2 linked regions of the Alligator mississippiensis genome follow. The protein of the gene in region 1 interacts with the protein of each later gene in a pairwise test. Links are inferred from orthologs where the notes say so. Each region holds a gene or a part of one and is shown in the gene's direction. Other genes may lie near its edges.

What was found.
Region 2: the proteins of RAPGEF4 (region 1) and SWAP70 interact in a two-hybrid assay, tested with the Homo sapiens proteins (2 studies listed by BioGRID and IntAct). The link is inferred for Alligator mississippiensis from reciprocal best matches to the Homo sapiens genes RAPGEF4 and SWAP70.

What each region holds. Positions count from the first base shown.
Region 1 is NC_081827.1:211,586,598-211,597,417, reverse strand, and holds the start of RAPGEF4 (rap guanine nucleotide exchange factor 4), read left to right. Parts: upstream 1-5,938; 5' UTR 5,939-5,973; coding exon 5,974-6,038; intron 6,039-10,820.
Region 2 is NC_081825.1:198,047,961-198,058,953, forward strand, and holds the start of SWAP70 (switch-associated protein 70), read left to right. Parts: upstream 1-6,051; 5' UTR 6,052-6,119; coding exon 6,120-6,218; intron 6,219-10,993.

The sequences.
Region 1 (10,820 bases):
ATCTAGGTCTTTATTACAGCAAATCCAAGTCTTAAGCAGTTACATCGTCTTTTTGAATCAAACACTGTATCTTTGTTTTGTTCTGTTTCTAATCAGTGTTGTAAAGTTAGACCACATTCCCTTTGTACAACCTCATGCCTGGAATTCTTCTGCTTTCTAACAAATAGTTGTATAATCCACTGCAAACTGAATTTAAGTGCCACTATAGTGGCTGCTCCAGAACAAGTACATCTTCACTGAAGAGTTATCCCAGGTCTAAATATGGTAACTTGTCCAGCATTCATACTTAAGTCCTACTTTTTCCTGCATCCACAGGGTGATCGCATGTATCCAGCTGAGACATTAGGATAGGTAGGGACACATCTCATGTTTTTTGGGGTGTTTTTTTCATTAACCCACTGGCTCAGGAAAGTAACTTACTTCCAGGTTGGCATTTTCTCTACTACTGTCCATAGCTGGTGGTAAGACATGGTAGTAAGGTTCATGGATCTGACTCAGAATCATGACTTATTCCAAATTTTGTATTAGTGCAACTATTATTTCAGAAACAGTGACTTGCTGAGGCTGCATATACCCATGGAAGAAGGGAGATCACTGATGCAAGTTGTAATAACTGTGGATCCCTCCTGTGCTGACTGGTGTTTCTGGAGCAAGACCACAAGCGTGAAGTGGTGGGACTACATCACTAGGCAGATTTAAGATTACCAGCAATAGCTCCATAACATTTGCTGAAGAAGTTTACTTTCCAGGAGCCTTGGTGAGGAGTTTACTCTGGCTCTTGAATGCCAAAAAACACAAAGTTATTCCAACCCTTTAGATCATGGTGCCTAATCAGTTAATTGTTAGCAAGCCATTTGGGGGGGCTGCAATGTACTCATTACTGTGAAAAGTTGAAGACCACTATGTCATAGATTCATAGATTCATTGATTCTAGGGTCGGAAGGGACCTCAATAGATCATCGAGTCCGACCCCCTGCATAGGCAGGAAAGAGTGCTGGGTCTAGATGACCCCAGCTAGATGCCTATCTAACCTCCCCTTGAAGATCCCCAGGGTAGGGGAGAGCACCACCTCTCTTGGGAGCCCATTCCAGACCTTGGCCACTCTAACTGTGAAGAAGTTCTTCCTAATGTCCAATCTAAATCTGCTCTCTGCTAGCTTGTGGCCATTATTTCTTGTAACCCCTGGGGGCGCCTTGGTGAATAAAACCTCACCAATTCCCTTCTGTGCCCCCGTGATGAACTTATAGGCAGCCACAAGGTCACCTCTCAACCTTCTCTTGCGGAGGCTGAAGAGGTCCAGGTGCCTCAGTCTCTCCTCATAGGGCTTGGCCTGCAAGCCCTTAACCATACGAGTGGTCCTTCTCTGGACCCTCTCCAGGTTATCTGCATCCCTCTTGAAGTGTGGCGCCCAAAATTGAACGCAGTATTCCAACTGCGGTCTGACCAGCACCCGATAGAGGGGAAGTATCACCTCTTTGGATCTGTTCGTCATGCATCTGCTGATGCACGATAAAGTGCCATTAGCTTTTCTGATGGCTTCGTCACACTGCCAACTCATGTTCATCTTGGAGTCCACTAGGACTCCAGGATCCCTTTCTGCTTCCATTCCACCAAGCAGGTCATTCCCTAGGCAGTAGGTATGCTGGACATTTCTCCTCCCTAGGTGCAGCACTTTGCATTTCTCCTTGTTGAATTGCATTCCGTTGTTTTCTGCCCATTTGTCCAACCTGTCCAGGTCTGCTTGTAGTTGTTCCCTGCCCTCTGGAGTGTGTACTTCTCCCCACATTTTTGTGTCTGTGGGAGCCGAGGGCGGTCTAAGGCTATGGCCAGTAGCCCGGACTGTCAGGTGGGTATTTTCCACGATGGAATAGAGTTAGGCACGGAAGCGTATTGGTTGTATAAAGAAAGCTTTACTTACACTGCCAATGGTCACAGTGCAGGAAGAAAACTTGCTTGAATTACAGTTGCACACAAACACACAGGGGTGAGATCTCTCTTCGAACCGAACCGAGATGAGTCATCGGTGTACGACTCCACAAGCGCTCAACACGGGGGTACGTCAATATTTCCACGATGACGGGGACTGGTTAGAGTCTGATCAGGTCCCTAAGTCCTCCTCCAAGACACACGCGGAGTTTGCTAGGCTCCACAGTGCACTTAGAGTTCCCCATGAGATGGTTGTGGAGTCCTCCAACTTGGGTGGAAACTACTCTAACCTTTTATACGGCTAGCAAACCAATCGCTAGCTGCCAGGTAGGAATAATTTAGAATTGACCAATAGTGGGACACAAATTTGCATACGTGTGGCGGGAACTCTTTTGCACCGGGGTTTTCTCTCTGCAGCTGAGAAATCCACCATGCAAAGAAAGCTCCATGTGGCGGGAAAATTCCAATGTGCCGAGGCACTAAAAATCATTGGGTTATGACAGTGTCATCCGCAGACTTGGACAGAGTACACTTCACTCCCTCATCCAAGTCGCTGATGAAGACATTGAAGAGTATTGGTCCAAGGACCGAGCCCTGCGGGACCCCACTGCCCACACCCTTCCAGGTCGATACCGACCCATCCACTACGACTCTCTGGGTGCGACCCTCCAGCCAATTCACCACCCACTGGACTGTGTAGTCATCCAAGTCACAGCCTCTTAACTTGTTCACCAGTATGGGGTGGGATACCGTATTGAAGGCCTTCCTGAAGTCTAAGTATATGATGTCAACCCCTACTCCTGCGTCCAGGTGTTTTGTAACCTGGTCATAAAAAGACACTAGATTAGTCAGGCATGATCTACCTGCTACGAACCCGTGCTGGTTTCCCCTCAGCATAATTTTTCCTGCTGGGCTCTCGCAAATGTGAGCCTTGATAATTTTTTCAAAGACTTTGCCAAGGATGGATGTGAGACTGTATAGTTGCCTGGGTCCTCCTTCCTCCCCTTCTTGAAAATGGGCACCACATTGGCCCTTTTCCAGTCCTCCGGGACCTGGCCCATGCGCCACGTGTTCAAATATTCCCGCCAGTGTCCCTCATCAGTAATCTGGATATAAATGAGGTGACCATTCCCACGTATTTTAGTGAACATAGTCTATTCACCGTGCTGGTTCAGGAAGTCTTACTCAAATGTGAGAGGACCTGGTAAAAGAAAAGTCCTTGGACAGGTAATTGGACAGTGAGCAGTTGCAGGGTTGTGGTGAAATGTGCAGTTGGCTGACAGGAAGGCAAGATGGTGCTGTTGAAAAAAACTATTTGGGTGCCTATATATATATAAAATGAGCAGAGAGAAGTAGTCAGCCATATTAATCTAAAGTCAGGCAGAAGGCAGGGTAGTTTTGCACCATATAGAATTAATCAGAAATAAACGCTATATATAAAATATGTGTGTGTTTATGTCCCCTTTTCCTCACAGCACACCCCAATCATACAATGCCAGGGGAAAGGGAAACCTTTTGCTAGTGATGGGCTGATGTGTATGTTAGTTTATAGGCCTGGTACAGGCAACCAGAAAGTTCATTTCTGATAACTGGAGTTGTGTCCAGGACAGTGAGGGCAATAAGAGCTAAATAATTCCTTTGGAGGAAGAATTACAATAATGTGGAATAATGTAAATAAGGTAGAATAATGTGAGCACAAAACAAGTGTGGTGTATCAATTTACCTGTAGAATGCATATTATAGATTACTAACCTTATATTTTATTCACTTATATTTATTTTGAACTTCCTGATTCTCTCCTGTTTTTCAAACAGTCACACTGAGAGACTGAAACACAAAATAACTTAAAAAAAATCACAGTCGTCTTTATACTAAAGAGAAGGTATAACCAAACCAAAATATAAAATTAAGAAGAATAATATTCCATGTAATGGAATTGTGAATTATAAGCAAGCTTTGCTCTAGCCATGTTTGGTGGGAACTAGACACATTTTCTATTCATAAAGTGCATTGACTGGTTCATTCCCCACCCAGACTTGTCTATGGGTTATCACCCAAAGGAGAATATTGGAGCAGATGAGGGCAGGGGCTGGGGACTGTGCTGTCATGTTCTGCTGCTAAGCTGCAACCATTGGCACTGCTTCTTCATGGCATGGTCATGGTTCTTCAGCATCCTCTCAGCTTCAGCTTGGTTCTGTCTGTCCCATCATGGAATTTGTATTCCAGCCTGTCAGCAATGTCCTATGGTGTCTCCTGCAGCAAATTGCTCCTGACCTTTCTTTACCCTGGGGGGGGTCTCAACACGCTCACTAAAAGTCAGTGCCATCATGGCTAGGCACCTTTTCCTCACCTAGATAGCCCTGAAATGCAATGCCAGAGCATAATATTTTCCTGGTAAGAGGGCAAAAAGGGAAGTTGCTTCTCTTTAACTTTGGGACAGAGCAAGGGAAACATTGCAACTTTTATCTCATTGGCATTCAGTGTTCCCCATTTCTCTGCTCATCAGCTGCTTATCAATGAGTTATCAATCCAATTTATTTTGACAAGAGTAGGAAGTGCTTTAATTTATTTTTAATTGGCATTTGTGGGATTGCATTCATGTGGGAGAAAGAGCAGAACTGTTACTAATTATGCTCTTCTGCTCTGGAGTCCTTCTGGCCCCAGTCCAATATAAGTACTACCTGGGTTAGCCTAAGAGAATCAGTATTTTCATCACTGCTGACCACTTGGTCCAGCTTTCCAACAGAATGGGCACATCCTTGAGGAACTGCCAGACTTGGAGTTGCAGTCCTTAGCCTTCCATTTTGTGCTTGTTAATGGTTTCTATTTTCTTCCCTACTGAGTTCTTGCCGTTGAATCCCTTTCTCTGTTGGCTTTTTACAAATGTCTTTGTAAAAGTGTACCTGAAATCTGCATTTTCACAGGTTTTTGGGTCTTCCTGGCCTCACAGCCAAGGTCTATCAGGACCTCCATGTCACCATTTGGCCAGCTGGCAGCTGAGTTCCTACATCCTTGTCAGTGCCACGTAGGTAAACATGACATTGAAACATTGAATCGGTCCGTATGAACGGATAGCAGATGACTGGTGAGTATGAACGGATAGCAGATGACTTTTGCACAGTAGCAGTGCATTGGTCCTATGCAATCCAGGACCAATGATGGGAAAGCAGCGAGAACTACCAGGCTCTGAGTGAATTAAACTTGTGTCCTCGCCGCAGTGTGAGTGCGCTGTCAGCTGCCAAAAGCCTGCGCTCTAGCCTGCACCCCCCGCTCAGTCAGCTCGCCCAAACCTGGGGGTTTCTGGGTACGTCCCACGGCAGCACCCGAGTGGGAGCCCAGGGGCTCCCTGCTGTGGATCCACACCCACGTGAGACTGACCTTGCCTCCCGTGGGGGCAGCGTGGCTGCAGCTGACGGGCCCCGGGAGGCCGCACACTGGCACAGGCTGAAAAGTGTCTGCCTGGTCAGGACCCAGCTCCCGGCAGCTTCCTCCTCCCGCTTGGCTTAATGAGCTCTCCCTGCCGCAGGCAACTCATGCCAGTGGCTAGGCTCCTACCTCGGCGGCGGGCTGGGTTAGGACCCTGGAGAGTTACTCAAAGACGCAGGAACTTCTTCTAGTCGAGCCATCCCCCTCCCCCACGCATGCTCCACGCAGCCCCTGCCCACGCCGGCCCAAGGCGCCGGCCCTCAGCGGGGCAGGGCACGCCCGGCTCCCCTCGGCCGGAGAGTCCTAGGGCTCCGTGCGAGGAGCCCCGAGGGCGCGGGGCGCTCCCCGCTGCCCTCCCCGCGGCTCTCCTTCCTGCCCTGCCTCGGGCTCCCGCCGGGCCCGCGGGGCGGCGGCTCCACTGCAGCGCGGGCGCGGCGCCGGGCGGCAGGTGCGCGGGGCCGGGGAGGGGGAGCGCGGCCAGGTGGCCCTGCCCACGGCACGGGCGGAGGCGGCGGGGCCTGGACGAGCCCATTCGGTGCTGGGAGGAGCGGGAGGAGGCGGGGAGAGGAGCCGCCGCCGCCGCCGCCGCCCGGGCACGCAGCGAGCCGGCTGAAGGCAGACATGGTGGCTGCTCACGGGTCCCATCCGTCGTCCTCCGGCGAGTGGATCGCCTGCCTGGACAAGAGGTACCGGCCTCTGCGGCGCGAAGCGCGGGGACGGGGGCAGCGCCGCTCCTCCCTGCCTGCCGCCGCCCGGGCCCCGCAGCCGCGGGCGGGAGGGATGGATGGATGGAGGTGCCGGTGCCGCCGGGCGGGGTCCCGGCCCCATCCTGCACGTGTCGGCGGGGGCAGGCGGGTCCCTGTGCCCGGGGGCTGCCCTGCGCCGTGCGGAGGCGCGGGGGGCTCCGGCTCTCTGCGGGCATCTGCAGGAGGAGCAATGGGCGGCACGTGACGACGGGACCGGCCGGGGGAGGGGGGGGGGGGTTAGGATGCTCCCTTGGCGCAGACGGGGGTGTGGGGGGAATGCCTGAACAGCCCCAGAGACAGGGGCCTCCCCCTCCAGTGCCGGGCTTGGGAGCGCTGCGTGGCGCGGTCCCACGGGGCCTCCGCGAGCCCTGCCTTGCTGCAGGCGGCATCCAGCCGCTGGCGGGGGGGGGGGCTGGTTTCCGTTTGCTGCGTCCACAGGCCCAGTCTCCTCGGGAGATTTTGGATTTGCCAGAAGAAACCTCGTGGAAATCTTGAGCGTGGGCCCCTTCCCCTCACTCCCACAGCGGATGCTTGTCTGTCTTCATCCAAGTGAGGGGAGGGAGGAGAAGAGAGAACCACAGAAAGTTTGGGATGGAAGGGACCTCAGGAGGTCACATCTAGTCCAACCCCCTGCTCAAAGCAGGACCAGCCTCAACTATCTCATCCCAGCCAAGGCTTGGTCTAGCTGGGTCTTAAACACCTTCAAGGGTGGAGAGTCCACAACCTCTCTGGGTAACCTGCTCCAGCGTTTGACTACCTTCTTTGTGGGAAAGCTTTTTCTAACATCTAACCTAAACTTCCCTTGCTGCAACTTGAGACCATTGCTCCATGTTCTGTCATCTGCCACCACTGAGAACAGTCCAGCTCCATCATCTTTTGAACCCCACTTCAGGTAGTTGAAGGCTGCTATTGAGTAGCCCCTCTCCATCGCCTCTTCTCTAGGCTAAATAAGCCCAGTCCCCTCAGTCTTTCCTCATACATAAGTCATGTCCCTCAGCCCTGTAACCACTGCCATTGACATCTGCTGGACTCTCTCCAATCTGTCCACATCCTTTCTGTAGTGGGGGGCCCAAAACTGAACACAGTACTCCAGATGTGGCCTCACCAGTGCCAAATAGGAGGGAATAATCACTTCCCTCAATCTGTTGGCAACACTCCTACTAATGCAGCCCAGTATGCCGTTAGCTTCCTTGGCAACAAGGCCACACTGTTGGCTCATATTCAGTTTGCTGTCCATTGTAGCTCCCATGTCCTTTTCTGCAGAGCTGCTCCCCAGACAGCCCTGAGCCTGTGCCCCAGTCTGTACCCAGATCCCCCATCCAGTCACCCCAGCCACCAGGTTGGAAAAAAACACGGTTCTTGACACACTGTGCTTTCCTTACTCCCCCCCCCCCCCCCAAAAAAAAAAAATTCCAAAATGCTGGTCACAAGTTTACTTTGCCAACTCTAAAGTGTGCGCTATGTGCATCAGGGATGGCAGTTGTTCCAAAACACTGACAGGAAAATTTTCTGTTGGATCAGATTGTAGGTTTAGCAGTAAACACTACACAGTGCTAGTAATTATAGCTTATTAACACTGATTAAAAGGTGATATGTTAACTTAAAAATGCAGATAGTAAGGAAGTGGTTGTTTAAAACAAGAAAACACTTTAGGATGTTTTATCCTGGGTGTTAGTGGGAAAAGAATAAAACCTATATCATTCTGTCAGCAGCAGCATGGTGTCTCTGGCTTCATGGTAGTTGTGTAACACTGCATACATTGTTTACTATTTATCATATTTCATACTTAATCAATTAAAGAATAAAATCATTGTAATTTTAATCTTAATACTGAATTCATAGGGCATTTGTATTTCTAAAACAAAGATTCTTAACAAAGAACAAGGTCAGCAGTGCTTAAACTAGGGGCAGTTACATGCCTGTCAGAAATGTAATTGCTTATGTGTGTGAGTCTTACAGAAGTGTGGCTCACAACTGGAAGCAACTAGAAACAGTTTAGGAACCACTGAATTAAACTGTAAATATCTGTATGTGCTGCATGCTTTAAACATTAAAGAGATCTGGGAGATAATGCACTTTACTTCAAGGTAAGACAGCCTGGTAAATGTCATTAGTGTAAGCTTTTGACAGTTGGTGCCATGTTGGGGGTATTGTATTTGGCCTTTTGCATAGACACAAAAGAGCTTCTTCTTGTCCCTTTTACCAATGCAGGTGCTAGCCAGTCTTTTGGGGACCAGTGTTGTAATGTAACTCCAACCTTGTCTCCTTCAGGAGTGTTGGCTTCAGTTGGCTAGTGGGGCACTCAATCCAGTATAGGCCTAGTACCCTACAGGGCTCCTGGTTGAAAACAGCTTCCCTGATTTCCCAGACCAATAGAAGGCAGACTGTGACTTCATATCTAGTAGCTGTAAATACTAGAAATTATTACAAGAAAGAAATACAAACAAAGCTGAAATAGAAAGGTTACACACATTATATCATGAACTACTTAAATCATGTTAAGTGTCTTTTCTAGGTTTTATTAAAGCATAAAATACACAGCAGAATGTCTTTTTAATGAATATAGCACAATTCTACAACTGATTTGTCCTATGTAAGGAGCCAAAGTAATTTAAACTAGATATAATTTGGCTTATCTTGTTTAAGATAAAAAAGACAGATTTGAATTTTAAATCAAGATAAGCAAAACATATCAAATAAAATAACTTTAAGATATGATTCTGAGATCTTCAGTTTCTTTCCCAAGGCATCTAGCAGCTAGAACCATTAGAAATCTAAAATGAGAGAATATTTACAACAGAGAACACCAAAATATTGTATTACTTTGTGCAGTTGTGTGCGCTAATGTTACAATACGCAGTCTTAATGAAGTTACTGACCACAGAAGCCAAAAATATGCACATAGAAATGAAACATGTGGAATACAATTATATATCTAAAGTAATAAAGATGGGACAAGCATGTGACACAGAAAGATAAACAAAGGTCCTAAAATCCCACTGTGTCAAGAACTGTTCAACATTCTAGCAGAGAACAACAGGTAAACAACATACATCCTTGCTATGTCAGAAAATTAAGTCATTTTTCTATTGATCCCTCTCATCTCTCCTCACCGGTGAAATTAATGCGAGTAGAAGCAAGCCTAATCTCTTAATGTTTTTCTACCTTGTTTGCATAAAGGGAGATAATAGCAGAACTCTTATGTTGGCTTGATACAGCTCAAGAACTGTGAGTTAGAGCCTTGTTTTGTGCTGGTGCCAAAGGTTGCCATCAGTAGACTCAGCCTTAAGCGGCTTATTCAGAAAGGGGAGTCAAAGGGGGCTGAATGACTCACTTGTGTGCTTCTGGCCACAGAAACTGCTGTGCCATAAACACACTAGTTCAATGGGCCACTAGGCTTGAGTGGTCTCTGATCTTACTAGCATATGCATGAGTGGAAGGTTGTTAGTTTGTTCAAGTGTGTGTATTCAGCCTAGGAATAATACCATAATATTAATAATAATAAATCCATAATCTTATTCCTTATGTTTTATTTTCAGCAATGTGTATCTGTGGAAGAGATGTCTATATTTATAATTTTAAGGCCTTAGTGGTTTTGTTTTAATAAATATATGGTCAGGGCTTATGACAGACTAAGCATCTTTTACAGAAATCTGTCATTTCATAAAACCATAGTATAGCTTTGTATTCAACTAAGGTTTTTAATTTGATTCAGAGATCAGCTTTTTTAAATGGTGTGCAATGTTCACAACAATCAGATAAACCAAAGATTTCAACTCTATCCATTATATTTCTGTGCTTTCCTCTGTATTAAACATAACCTGCAGTGCCTTAGCTGACTAGAAGAGCAGATCACAGAGCAAAGCATGTAACTTTGCTATCCTGGTGTGCCAAGAATGTTATGATCTTTGCTAAGCTGTTTATGAATAATTTAAATATGAATGGGTAGATTGAGGGCATATTGTACATAGTTACTTTTATGTTTTTATTTCCCTGATAGACCATAGTTTTCCATTATCTAGGCCTAACAAGAATAATGTTATGCACATGGGACAATGATCTTGCAATTCTTAATCAAAAAAAGTTTCCATTGATGTCAATTAGATTTTAGACAAGACTGCAGGTCACATTTTTTTTTTAGCTCATTGATATATTTAAGACTCAAACAGCGATTTATACTTTTGATGGTAGATACAAGCTGGAGTTTTTTCTGGTTGTGCAGGTAAGTTTGGGTTAAGAAGTAGGATTTTGAAAGGGGGAACCATGATGATAGAAAGAAGGTAGTAAGTGAAGCATTATCTGCCTCCCAGATTTCCATCTTGTACAATATATCATTACTTCAAGAAAGAAAGAATGTAATTAGCTCTTATTTAGGCAATAGTGTGGTTACCAGGCTTGTTGTAACATTTTATATTAGACTAAGGAAGTATCCACTGGTTTCTATATATTTTTAAATTTTTGGTTTTGTTTTATATTTACAATAAATCTATTGAGGGAACATGGAAATATTTAACTTAGTATTTTTAGGCATGAAGAGGCTTACTCCTCTCCTAAATGTTTGGGTTTCCTTTTTACAGTTGACCTCCAAGAGGTGTGAGCTCAAGTCTTCATTGTCAGACTAGTCTGTCAAGAAGGAAAAGGTCTGTCCATCAGGTTATCTACTCTCCCTTTCCAGCCTTGCTTTACCTTGGGGTTATCAGATCCTTGAATGATCCAGTTGTT
Region 2 (10,993 bases), on another chromosome or scaffold:
GACTGGGGTAGGAGAGAACACCCCCTATCATTTGAAACAAAGAAATACAGGTTTTATATTTCATCTATCTGGACTAGACTAGGAAGGTACTTTTTTTACTACTTTTGATTCTTTCACCTTCTTTATGTTTTCTTTTCAAAATTAGATGAAAGATCAGAAGCAATATACATCTTTTCAGCTATGCTAATGAGGTTTTTCTGGGATCTCAAAAATAGACTGTGACTAATAATTTTCAAAATGGTTCTGCTGATATCAAGAGGGTTTTTTTCAAGGAGTCAACTGTAACTAGAATATGTTTAATGTTGTTTCTTATCCCACCTAGAGTAATATTAATACTTAAGGATTTTTATATCCTTCAATCACAATAGCGTCAGTAGAATTATTCATAATATATAAAACTAATATGATTAAAGTGCTATTTTTATGAAGTTTTTTGTTTCTTTAGATTTTTTGAGGGTTAAGTTCTTAAGAAGAAGTGAATATTGTTTAGTGACATTGAGGTAATTTGGTTTTCTTTTTCTTTTCCAATTAATTGACATTTATCTGAAATGATAGGTAATAATTGAAAAATGTAAAATGATTTTTAGTACACATGAACTCAGTGCTGTCAGCTACATTGTCTTCATGCTTTCTGTGCTTCTTTTTTAGTCTGTTGTGGAAGAGGTCAAAGCAGAACTGAAGTAGTCAAAGAATGAAAAAGTTTATTTTGGGTGATAATGGTCTGGCACTCTGAATGTATTAGTGTGTCTGAATTCTTTCCCTGATTGCAATCTAAGCAGCCAATGCCAATAAATACACTGAGTGACATTTTTAAATGTATAGTGTGTCTTCCGGTTGGGAGCTGCCTGACAAATATTTATTATTTGGTTAAACAAAGAGTAATTAAGCTTCTAAAGGAAAAAAAAAAGAAAAGTAATTGTGACCTCCTATGGCTGAGCTCAGCAGGATCTAGTCATAGCTTCCTCCTGAAAGTCTGAGTCACTCTCAGATGCTGAGCCAATTTTCCCTCCCTCTACTCCCAATTCCCATTTCTAACCACCATGAGCAAATGTTATCAGAATCAACACAGATTTTTTTTTTAAAAAGCTCAGACTTTGTACAAGGTACTTCTGCATTTCTTGGAAGTTACAATCACGTTTATTGTGCCATCGATCCTACAAATAAAATTCATGGCATATACTAAATCTGAAGCCTTATTTGAGCAGATTGCAGCTCATGAGATGCTTAATCACTTCTGTTGTTGCTAATCATTTTTGCCCCGGGCACTTTAAAGATTTATGACATTTTTTCAAACAGCCTTCAATTTTGCCTGTCAATTTTTCACCTCTAAATATTTGAGTGTGCACCCTCAGACTTTAAATTGAAAATTCAAATTAAATTGAATTTGTATAAATCAAACTATGCAGTAACACATTTTCTGATGATATACTAACATTTATGGTGAGAGATATCTCTATATATACCTCTCACCATATATAGGAGCTGAAGGAGCTAGGCAGGTTCAACTTGTGAAAAAGGTGCTTAAGAGCGGGTGCTGTAGTGGGGGCTGTGGCCCTATACCTGGGATCTCTTGAGCATATATTGACAACCTTTCATAGAAGCAGGACATTGGCTGCCATGGTCCCCTGCTGTACCTGTGGCAGGTAAGAGCATTAGGTCTGTATTGTCAGGGCTGAAGGTATTCTTATGTAGCATTTGGATTTTGGTTTGTATGGGATGGTTAGGTTAGGGATGATCCTGCCTCAGGCAGGGGGTTGGACTAGGTGACCTCTGGAAGTCTCTTCCAGGCCTGTTTCTTTATGATTCTGTATCCTTGTTAGTATGCAGGCTTGAGGGGCTACACATGCCTGTTTTCACTGTTTGTGGGCTTGGGTTATACGGTTTGAGGTTACAGCGTGCAGTTGAATAGGGCAAGTGGATCAGATTTCGTGTCCTCCTGGCCCTCCCTTCCAAATTTGTGAAGTTTGTACGCATTTAAATGTTGTCAACAACAAATCATACAAAAGTGACTAAAGGGACAGCCCTCATCTTAAACTGTGCAGAGGTCTGCAGTGTACTGGCCCTCAGTTTTAGCATCAAGTTGGCGTAAGTAGAAAGAGTAGGAGTACTGCAGACAGCAATTGTCCCCTGGATGCATCTGAACTCCCAGGATTCTGGGTCTGGGACTTGCATGTAGGATGCCAGCCTGGATATAGAGAGCATCTGAACTCTTGGACTTGCAGGCCTGGGACTTGTATATATGCAAGGGGTTGGACTCGATGACCTCCTGAAGTCCCTTCCAATCCTAATTTTTTAGAATTCTGTATTCTGATGTTTAAACCTGCTGAGTGCGGATGCCTAGAACCTAAATTTTCCACTCTTCCCACTCCCACAGTAAAAGCTGGTGCCCCAAAGAATACATAATTCAAATAGACAAGATGACCGCATTGTAAATACTATTATGGCCATTTTTCCAAAAGGAAAACTGGGGCACAAAAGTACTAAGTAACTTGCAGAAGGAAGTTAAGCAGATTGTAGAAAATTAACATAGGCCTGCTTAATCCCAGCGCAGTCACCTAACCAAAGATAGCTTCTCAGAGCTGAAGATCACGTTTGTAACTCTTCCTTCCAAAAAGGATGCGTACTCATGATGCAGATGCTAATATCGCTGTTGGCAGCATTACTTTAATCTGTGCTGAAAGGCAAAATCAAGATCTGACTTTGTGTGTGTTTGGTGCAGATCAGATGGGACAATGCACATTTTAATTTTTCCGCTATACAATTCTTTTGTGTGAACTGAATCTGGAAAGACTGCCTTGATGAACAATCTGAAATAATCAGCAAACCAAACAGGAATATATATTTTACCATGATGACAGCTCAGCTTCTGGAGCTTTCTGTTGCTAAACAGTATTAAAAAAATTACAGGAAGAAAAAAGACAATTTTTTGTTCCATGAAAGACAATGGAAATGTTACCATTAACTTCCCTGAGATTAGAAGTCTTAATATTACCCAGAGAAAATAATGACAACATAGAACTTGTCTGTTTGGTCATCTCAACTTATCTACATTACCTGAAAGGGGTTCCAAAGAGGATGGAGCTGGACTGTTCTCTGTGGTGGCAGATAACAGAACAAGAAGCAATGAGCTCAAGTTGCAGCAAGGGAAGTTTAAGTTGGATATTAGGAAAAACTTTCTCACTAGGAGAGTAGTAAAGCACTGGAATGAGTTACCTAGAGAAGGTGGAATTTCCATTTCTGGAGGTTTTTAAGGCCTGGCTTGACAAAGTCCTGGCTGGAATGATGTATTTGAGGATCACCCTGCTTTGAGCAGGGGGTTGGACTAGATGACTTCCTGAGGTCCCTTCCAACCCTAATTTTCTATGATTCTATATCAATGATGACATCTCTATCTCAGACTGGACACAGCTTAGATCTTTATTGCATGTACACTTCACCAATATTTTAGATACTTTTTTTTCATCAAAAACCAAGAGCATTTCTTGTTTGATATTTGATATACATCTCAACTTTCACACATCTGCACAGGAAGGGGGTGGGCACACTGATGTCATACAACTTTTATGTCTCTAGCTTTGTAACTTAAAATTCAGTTATACTTTATTGGCATGATAATTATACAAGTGTTGTCAAAAAAACAGACAGACTTCCTCTGGTGTCTAGACAAATGGTGGGGGTATACACAATTTTGCATGTGATACTCTGTGTTATCATCTGTCTACTAGGGGTGTGCGAAGTGGGCCCTATTAGATTTGGATTTGGATTCAGCCCAAATCAGGGACTATTTGATTCGTTGATTCAGATCACTGTCCCCGATTCAATTAGGCCAAATCCGAATCTGAAGATTCGATGCTGATTCGGAGAATCAGCGATGCAGACATAGACACAGCTTTAAAAGTTTTTTTTCTACATACCTTGAGGTAGCAGGCATGGCTCGTAATTGCTGCGATGTTGGGGCAGATGGAGCGTCCCGCAGGAATGCAGGGGGGCGCTCAACGTGCTCAGCAGTGAACCCAGAAGTGTACTGGAAGTACTTCTGGTCCACTTCCGGGTATGCCGGGGAGTGCACAGGGGGCCCCCCTGCACCCCCCTGGCTCAGTGATTGGCTACGGGGGGACCCTGGGTGCCCCCCCCCAGTCCCAGGAAGCACCAGTCACTGAGCCATGGGGGGCCAGGGAGGGCTCCCAAGCACTCTCCCCAGTGGACCCAGAAGTGGACTGGAAGTGCTTCTGGTCCACTTCTGTGTCTGCTGCTGAGCACGCTGGGGAGCCCCCCACACTCCTGTGGGATGCTCCATCCATCCCAGCACTGCAGCATTCATGAGCCCCTGCTACCTAGAGGTATGTAGAAAAAACATTTAAAGCTGTGTCTATACCTGAATCTCCAAATCTTTCCGAATCTCTCCGAATCGATTTGGAGGATTCCGATTCGATTTGGAGAGATTAAAGGGTTCTCTGATTCTATTCGGATTTGGAGATTTGGCCATCGAATCGGACTGAACTGGGCCAAATCTCTGCTGAATGAAATCAGGGACCGAAGCTTCATACAGCCCTACCGTCTACTCCTCGTGCGGTGGCAGATTGCAGAGCTTTGTGGTGCCACCTGTGCAGTCATACCCAGTTGTTTTAAAAGACATGGGGTCAGTGTCTTCAGTACAATGGGGTTTTAAAAGCAAACCTTAGCATTTGCTCATATAACACTGTGGTATTGTCCATGATCACTATTATTCTTTATTACTTATGTGTCTCTGACACTTTATGATGCCATGCTTATAGGGAGCTTACAGTTTAAGGAAGAGGATTGTGTGATAAGGTGTAATGATTTCAACTATGAGATGTAAAAGATCAACCAAAAGTTTGTTGAGGTGTTGAGTCACAGCAGGGATGGATTTGGTCAGTTGGATTAGACAAATCCAGGGGCAATGACCCTGACACTGCACAGATTTATGTACATGCTTATCTTTTAACAATATGGGGTTTGATCCTATGCTCAGTGAAGTCAGTTTTCTAGCTGCTGTTGATGTCAATAGTTCAAGATCTGGTACATTCATATTTAGTGCGAAGTCTTTGATATCAGATTGATACAAAGTGTATAATGATCTCTTTTTGTCCCACTGTATCATGCAGCTCTCATTTTGCATTATCTAGTCAAAACAATATTCTTTTTAACACACAAAGGGTTCATCTTACTGGGCACACTGAGTGCCCCCAGGAGATTTGGAGCGGCATCTACTCCCACAGCTATCAATAGGTCTTATTTTTTTCCTTTTTTTCTCTCCTGAGTTAATTTAATATACATATTTTAGGAAACTTTATTTGAGCTGCTCATCTGGGATGGTGTTTAGCAGTAATTGCAGTGTGTGGGAGCTTTCCAGTGACTTAACTGGGAGCAGGTTCGGTATCAGTTTCTCCCACAAGTAGTGGCACTTTAGTTGTGGGTGACCCCCTGGTTTACAGCTCACATCTCAGTTTATGACTTCAGATCCTCCGAAATGCCCAACGTGGTGGCTGTTGTTTGCCTCCATGCAAAAGCTTTACTGATGCGTTACCTCTGTGTGAATGCTTTCCTCAACTAATGCTTTATAGTGTATATCGATTTGCAGCACAGAAAGTGGCCCATTGTGCAAATATTGGCCGTGGCCACGAGCAGGGGTCCCAACAACCCTACAGAAGCACAAAGGGGCTGTTTTGAATGCAACCGATGGAGCAATATAATGAACAATGACTTAAACAGAAATGATACAATGACCTTTGAAGAAAAGATGCAACTTCACTCATTGGGCAATTCTTCCCTGTTTGCCTCAGCTAGCTCCAACCTTGGCGTTAGTCCTGACTGCTCTCTGCTGACATCTCCTTTGTCTGCAGCACTGCCCATAGCTGGCACGCTCTTCTCTGGGACGCGGGGGGCCGCTCCCGGGGTCCCTTCCAGCCTCACGGCTGGGTGCCTGCCCGCTCCTGCCTGCCGGGACACCACAGCCGGACGGGGGCCGGGGCCGGGGCCGGGGCCGGGGCCGGGCCGAGCAGCCCCGCCCCGCCACGTGGGTGCGGGACGCGGGAGCTCCCGCCCGCCCCGGCGCAGCAGCCAGCTCGGCGCTGGCTGGCGGCGGCAGGCAGCTAGCCATGGTGGGGCTCAAGGAGGAGCTGCTCAAGGCCATCTGGCACGCCTTCACCGCGCTCGACCTGGACCGCAGCGGCAAGGTCTCCAAGTCCCAGCTCAAGGTGAGCGGTCCCGCCCCGACCCGTGGGGCAGCCCGGCTCCCACCCCTCTCTGATCCGGCAGGCACGACATCCCCGCCCGCTCCCCTGGCATTTGTCTGCTCCGGCCGCCTGCAGGCCTGGAGCTGCCCGGGGCCGCCGCGCTGCTCCTCCCTCCCTCCCGCACGTCCCGCAGGAGAAGTGGTGGAGAGGCGCCAGCCGTGCTGCGCCTTCTTCCCCGGGCTCCGAAGCCCTTAGTCAGAGGAGAAGTAGGGTGGCCGGTTGTAGCCGCCCTGGTCTAAGGCAGGGGTTGTCAGTGTTTTTGGTCAGGGTGCCAGAAACACCCACAAACTTGACCTGCAAGAGGTTGGCGTGCCGGGGAGTACCGGAGGGGAGCCATCACGGTACTTGGGGTCGGAAGGGACCTAAACAGATCATCAGGTCCGACCCCCGTGAGGGGCCTGATCCTCGTTGTGGCAGGGCCCGAGGGGAAAGCTCCAAGCAAAACGCCTTTGTGCGCCATGCTCTGGCATGCGTGCTAGGGGTTGCCTACCCCTGGTCTAAGGACATAGGCAGGCGAGGCTCTTTGGGGAGCTGTGGTATCTTTTATTGGGCCAACTCAAATACTTGAGTTTGAGTGTGGGGAAAGATGTCACCTCTCCCCAAAGAACCTTGCCTGCCTGTTGGGGAAGTAGGGCTAGTGGGGACCTCCAGAGGGCATCCAGTGTGAGCCCTGGCCTGAGGCAGGATCAACTCTGTTCAAACCGTCCCGTACAAATCATAATCTTAAACTCTCAACCCGACCCACCCTACCCTGCCGTCGGTCAAGCAGGGGACCCAGGGCAGCCAACGTCCTGCTTCTATAAAACGTTGTCAGTATACACTCAAGAGGTCCCGGGCAGAGGGCTGCACCCCTGCTATAGAGGAAGGCAAACCCCCCTATTCCAGTCTGACCCTGGGGTGAAATTCCTTCCTGACCCCAAATACAGCAATTGTTGCTTGTGCTCCTCAAAGAGCTCAGGCAGCTAGCTCACTGTACCTGATCCCAGCCAGGCTTTGCAGGCTGGAGAAGAGGAGGAGGAGTTGGGCTAGATCAGCGGTTCCTAAACTGCGGGTGTGACCTCAGATTGGGTTGCAATATCAATGGATGGGGTTGCGGGGGTGGGGGGCTATGCTGAGGAAATGGGACCATAAATGGGGTCAGGCTGACAAAAAAGTGTGGGAAGTATTGGGCTATATGAATATCCTGAATAGGAACAGTCCACCTGTTGATAACTGGAGCTGTAGATGATTGTGTTGAAGGCTTGTGGGCAGGATGAGGATTAACCTGTAGCGGGAAGAAGGCTTGGCTAATGGCTTCCTGACTGACTGCATTCAGTGCCACACAACTTAATTGGATTCATAGCGCATGTGGAGTGTTGTAGCTGTGATGGTCCAGGAAATGTGTATCTAAGGTCTCCCAATTAAGCAGCTGGTTCAATAAAAGGTGTCACTTTAAAAAAAAATCCTTGCCTCTAGGAAATGGAATCACTGCCTTCCTACTGTGCTGCTATAGCATCAGCACAACTTAAAGATTGAACCAACACCTCTTTACCCTTCACAGCAGCTCTTGGGAAGGCCCAGTTTAACTTCAAGTGAGAGTTTTTGTGTTAGACAGGAGGCAGAATGTGGCAGAACTGCTTGAGTTACAGCTCAAGTTGACAGGGTAATGGAGATAAGCTCTAGGCCAGCTCTAGCCTCCATAGTTCCTCCAGGAAACACTAGACTCTCTCTGTTCTGCAGCAGGGTCAATAAGAGTACTACAGTGGGAAACCTGGGGCTAAATTAACTTGGTTGTAGAGACAAATATTCTAATTTTTTAGGTCTAGCATGACTTCTGGAGGACTCCTGTTTTCTTGATGTGGCACTAGTCTTTGCTCTATCCTGTCTTGATATGCATGTCCAGAGCTGTGTTCTCATCTGCACTGCAATCTCCAGGGGTGGTTGTAGCTCTTAGAGGCATGCCAAAGCTTTGATCTAGCCAACTGAAGTAATACATGTAATGAAAACAGTGGTCTAGGCTCTGGGTGTGAGCCAGCCTCCCTAAGATGCAAGGTCACAGATGAGCTTGTATGGCTTACTCTAAAACCCATGAAACTGGATCTTTGTTGCTGCTCTTCCCTGGGTTGGGTCAAGCTCAGAGATGCCTTAGATGTTGCAATTGTATTGCCTCATTACAGTGTATGCTGTCTCCCTCCTCTAGTTATGTTTTGCAGTAGCTGTTCCCCTTTACTCTAATTATTCTGTCTTGAGTGTAGGAGAGCATAAAGGAAATGGTTTTGTCCTCTTTGACAGTTTTCCATAAAGTAAGCATGTTGGGTACTGCTTATGTTAAATATAATTATCTGCTCTATTACTTACAGAACATTCTCTTAAAACTTTTCGGTATTTGTAATACTTCTGGAATAAAAAAATTAGCTTTAGTCTTTGCAGTGCACCAAGCAACATAATTGAAGGTACTGGCTTTCTGCTCAGAAATTAATATTTCAGGGTCATTACCCTATGATCTCATGTTCAAATTGGAGAGCCTTAGTTTTAGCATTTACTCATGAAAATAAAATCAGATTAACAGCCAGTTTGAGAGGTCATTAACCAGTGAAAATAAGGAGTTCATATACTGGCCCTATGAGATTAGTGTTCCGGATTGGAAAAGTGAGGAGTGTGCTCCATGTACTCTGGATAACTAAAAATCGTTCCTGTCTAATCTAGGGGTAGTAGATTGTACAGGGAAGACATTTTATTATAATGATACTATTTTTTTAGTGCTACTAGACTTATAATTTTTTTCTAGTGTTATATTGTAGGACACAGTGTCCAGGTAACATGGCAGTGGGTATGCTGAAAAATTGATTGATTGGTAGATATTTGAAGAATTAGGAGGAAATATGTTTAATGTTGACAAGATTCTGCTGCCAAAAAGTGGTGTAGAAGTCTGGTGAAATAACTCTGTTTTCTAAGAACAAGATGTAAATATTTACTACTTGCAAGCCTACCATTCACAAAAGGAAGGAAAATCAACTACATATAAACTTTCCTTCTTTTAAGTGTAAACTAATTGGGGATGGTTCTCTAGTTGTGCATGCCTGTATAATGCCCTCCTATTAATATTGTGTTCAGCAGTGAAATGTTCCGGTATTTGTGCAGGAAACAAAAGCTTTTTTGGACAATAGGGTACAATGCTGATCCATTAATTTTATTGCAAATGCAGTACAGCACTATTTCTGAAAAAAAGGCATTCTAATTTATCTTCCCAGTTATTGTGTTTGCCTTCCAGAAGTGACATTTTAATATGGAATAAAAATGGGCATATGCAGTAGAGGTGTGTATCTCTTATGTTGACAGTAACTGAATGTAACTGAAGTAGAAAGTACTGTAATGGAAACAAGTTGGCTGGTCCTTTCATTCCCCTACTGTATTGTCTGGAGAGGAGCCAAGCTCATGTGATTCATGAGGCAGTTACTTGTATGAAATCTCCCTCGTCCCTTATCAGCTAACAATTTAGTTCTGTTGTCTCTCAATTTACTAGTAAAGAGCCTAGGAGTGAACAGAGAAGATGTAGTTCTTTACTCCTATTGGTGAGTCTTTTAAGTGAAAATATTGGTGTTACTAAAGCAAAATCAGTACTCCAGTGTAGTTTAAAATTTTCTCTTTCAACACACACTGATTTTTTTTTTTAATCAGTATTTTGCCATTGCACCAATAACTAATTTTTCTCCAAATCAGCAAAAAAATTAAGCTCTTACGCTGCTTCTTGTTCTTAAGTTATGCATGCTAAATATAAACAACATCATTGTTTTGTTCATATTGCCCATGCTCTTTCACATGCCAATACAGCAAAACCACTATAACTTTTGTGGATGTAATTATGGCTTCAGTTTTCTAAGGTGGTTGTAGTAGGAGCTACAGGCAGGCACTTGTATTGCTATCTTTACATCTGATCTAATCTTTTTTGCACACTGTAGTGTCTAAATATGTGAATTTTTTTAGAATTAAAATGTTTTATGTTGTCAGTTGGTAATTTTGGAAAGTACTCCCAGTGCTTCCTGTTGGACTTTGCTAAGTTTGCTTGTAGTATTAAGTGCTATTCTGGTAGTGTAGCAATGGGATTGAATTTGAACAGCATCCCTAAACTGTGTTGCTCCATGCTAGAGAGCACCACCATGAAAACATGCCTGCCTCCACAGTCCATCTTCACATGTATGAAATGCCAAAAATGTCATGTACAGTAACTGCTTTTTGGGGGAGGGGAAGGCAGGCTTAGCACCACTGTAATGACCTATGAGACTTTTTTTCAGCATGCAGTCGAGGAGTAAGTGAGGCATGCCTCGGTGACACTTCCCTGGTGTGGCATAGATGTGCCCTGAGAAGTTACATAAGTTGAACTATATTTACAAACTATATTCACATAACCATTTCTTGATATTTTTTTTGTAACTATTTCTTATCATGTTCTCTCTCTCTCTCTCTCTCTTTTTCTGTCAGTGGTCTAGATCAGCAGTCAGCACACTTCATGTGCTGTGTACAACCTTCATAGGTTGTGGGCTATAACTCAGGTCAGAGTTGAGCAGGCACTAAAACTCAGCTGCTGCTGCTTTCTGCACCCGTGTGGAGAAAGCTCCATTATCCTTGGCTTGGATCAAATGGCACTGTGGGCCACATCTGGCCTGTAGACCATAGGTTGACAGCCCCTAGTCTAGATTTTGAAAAGTGTTTTTGGGTGTCCAGTTCAAGTTACTTTTAAAAAAGGTGACTTGTTGGAA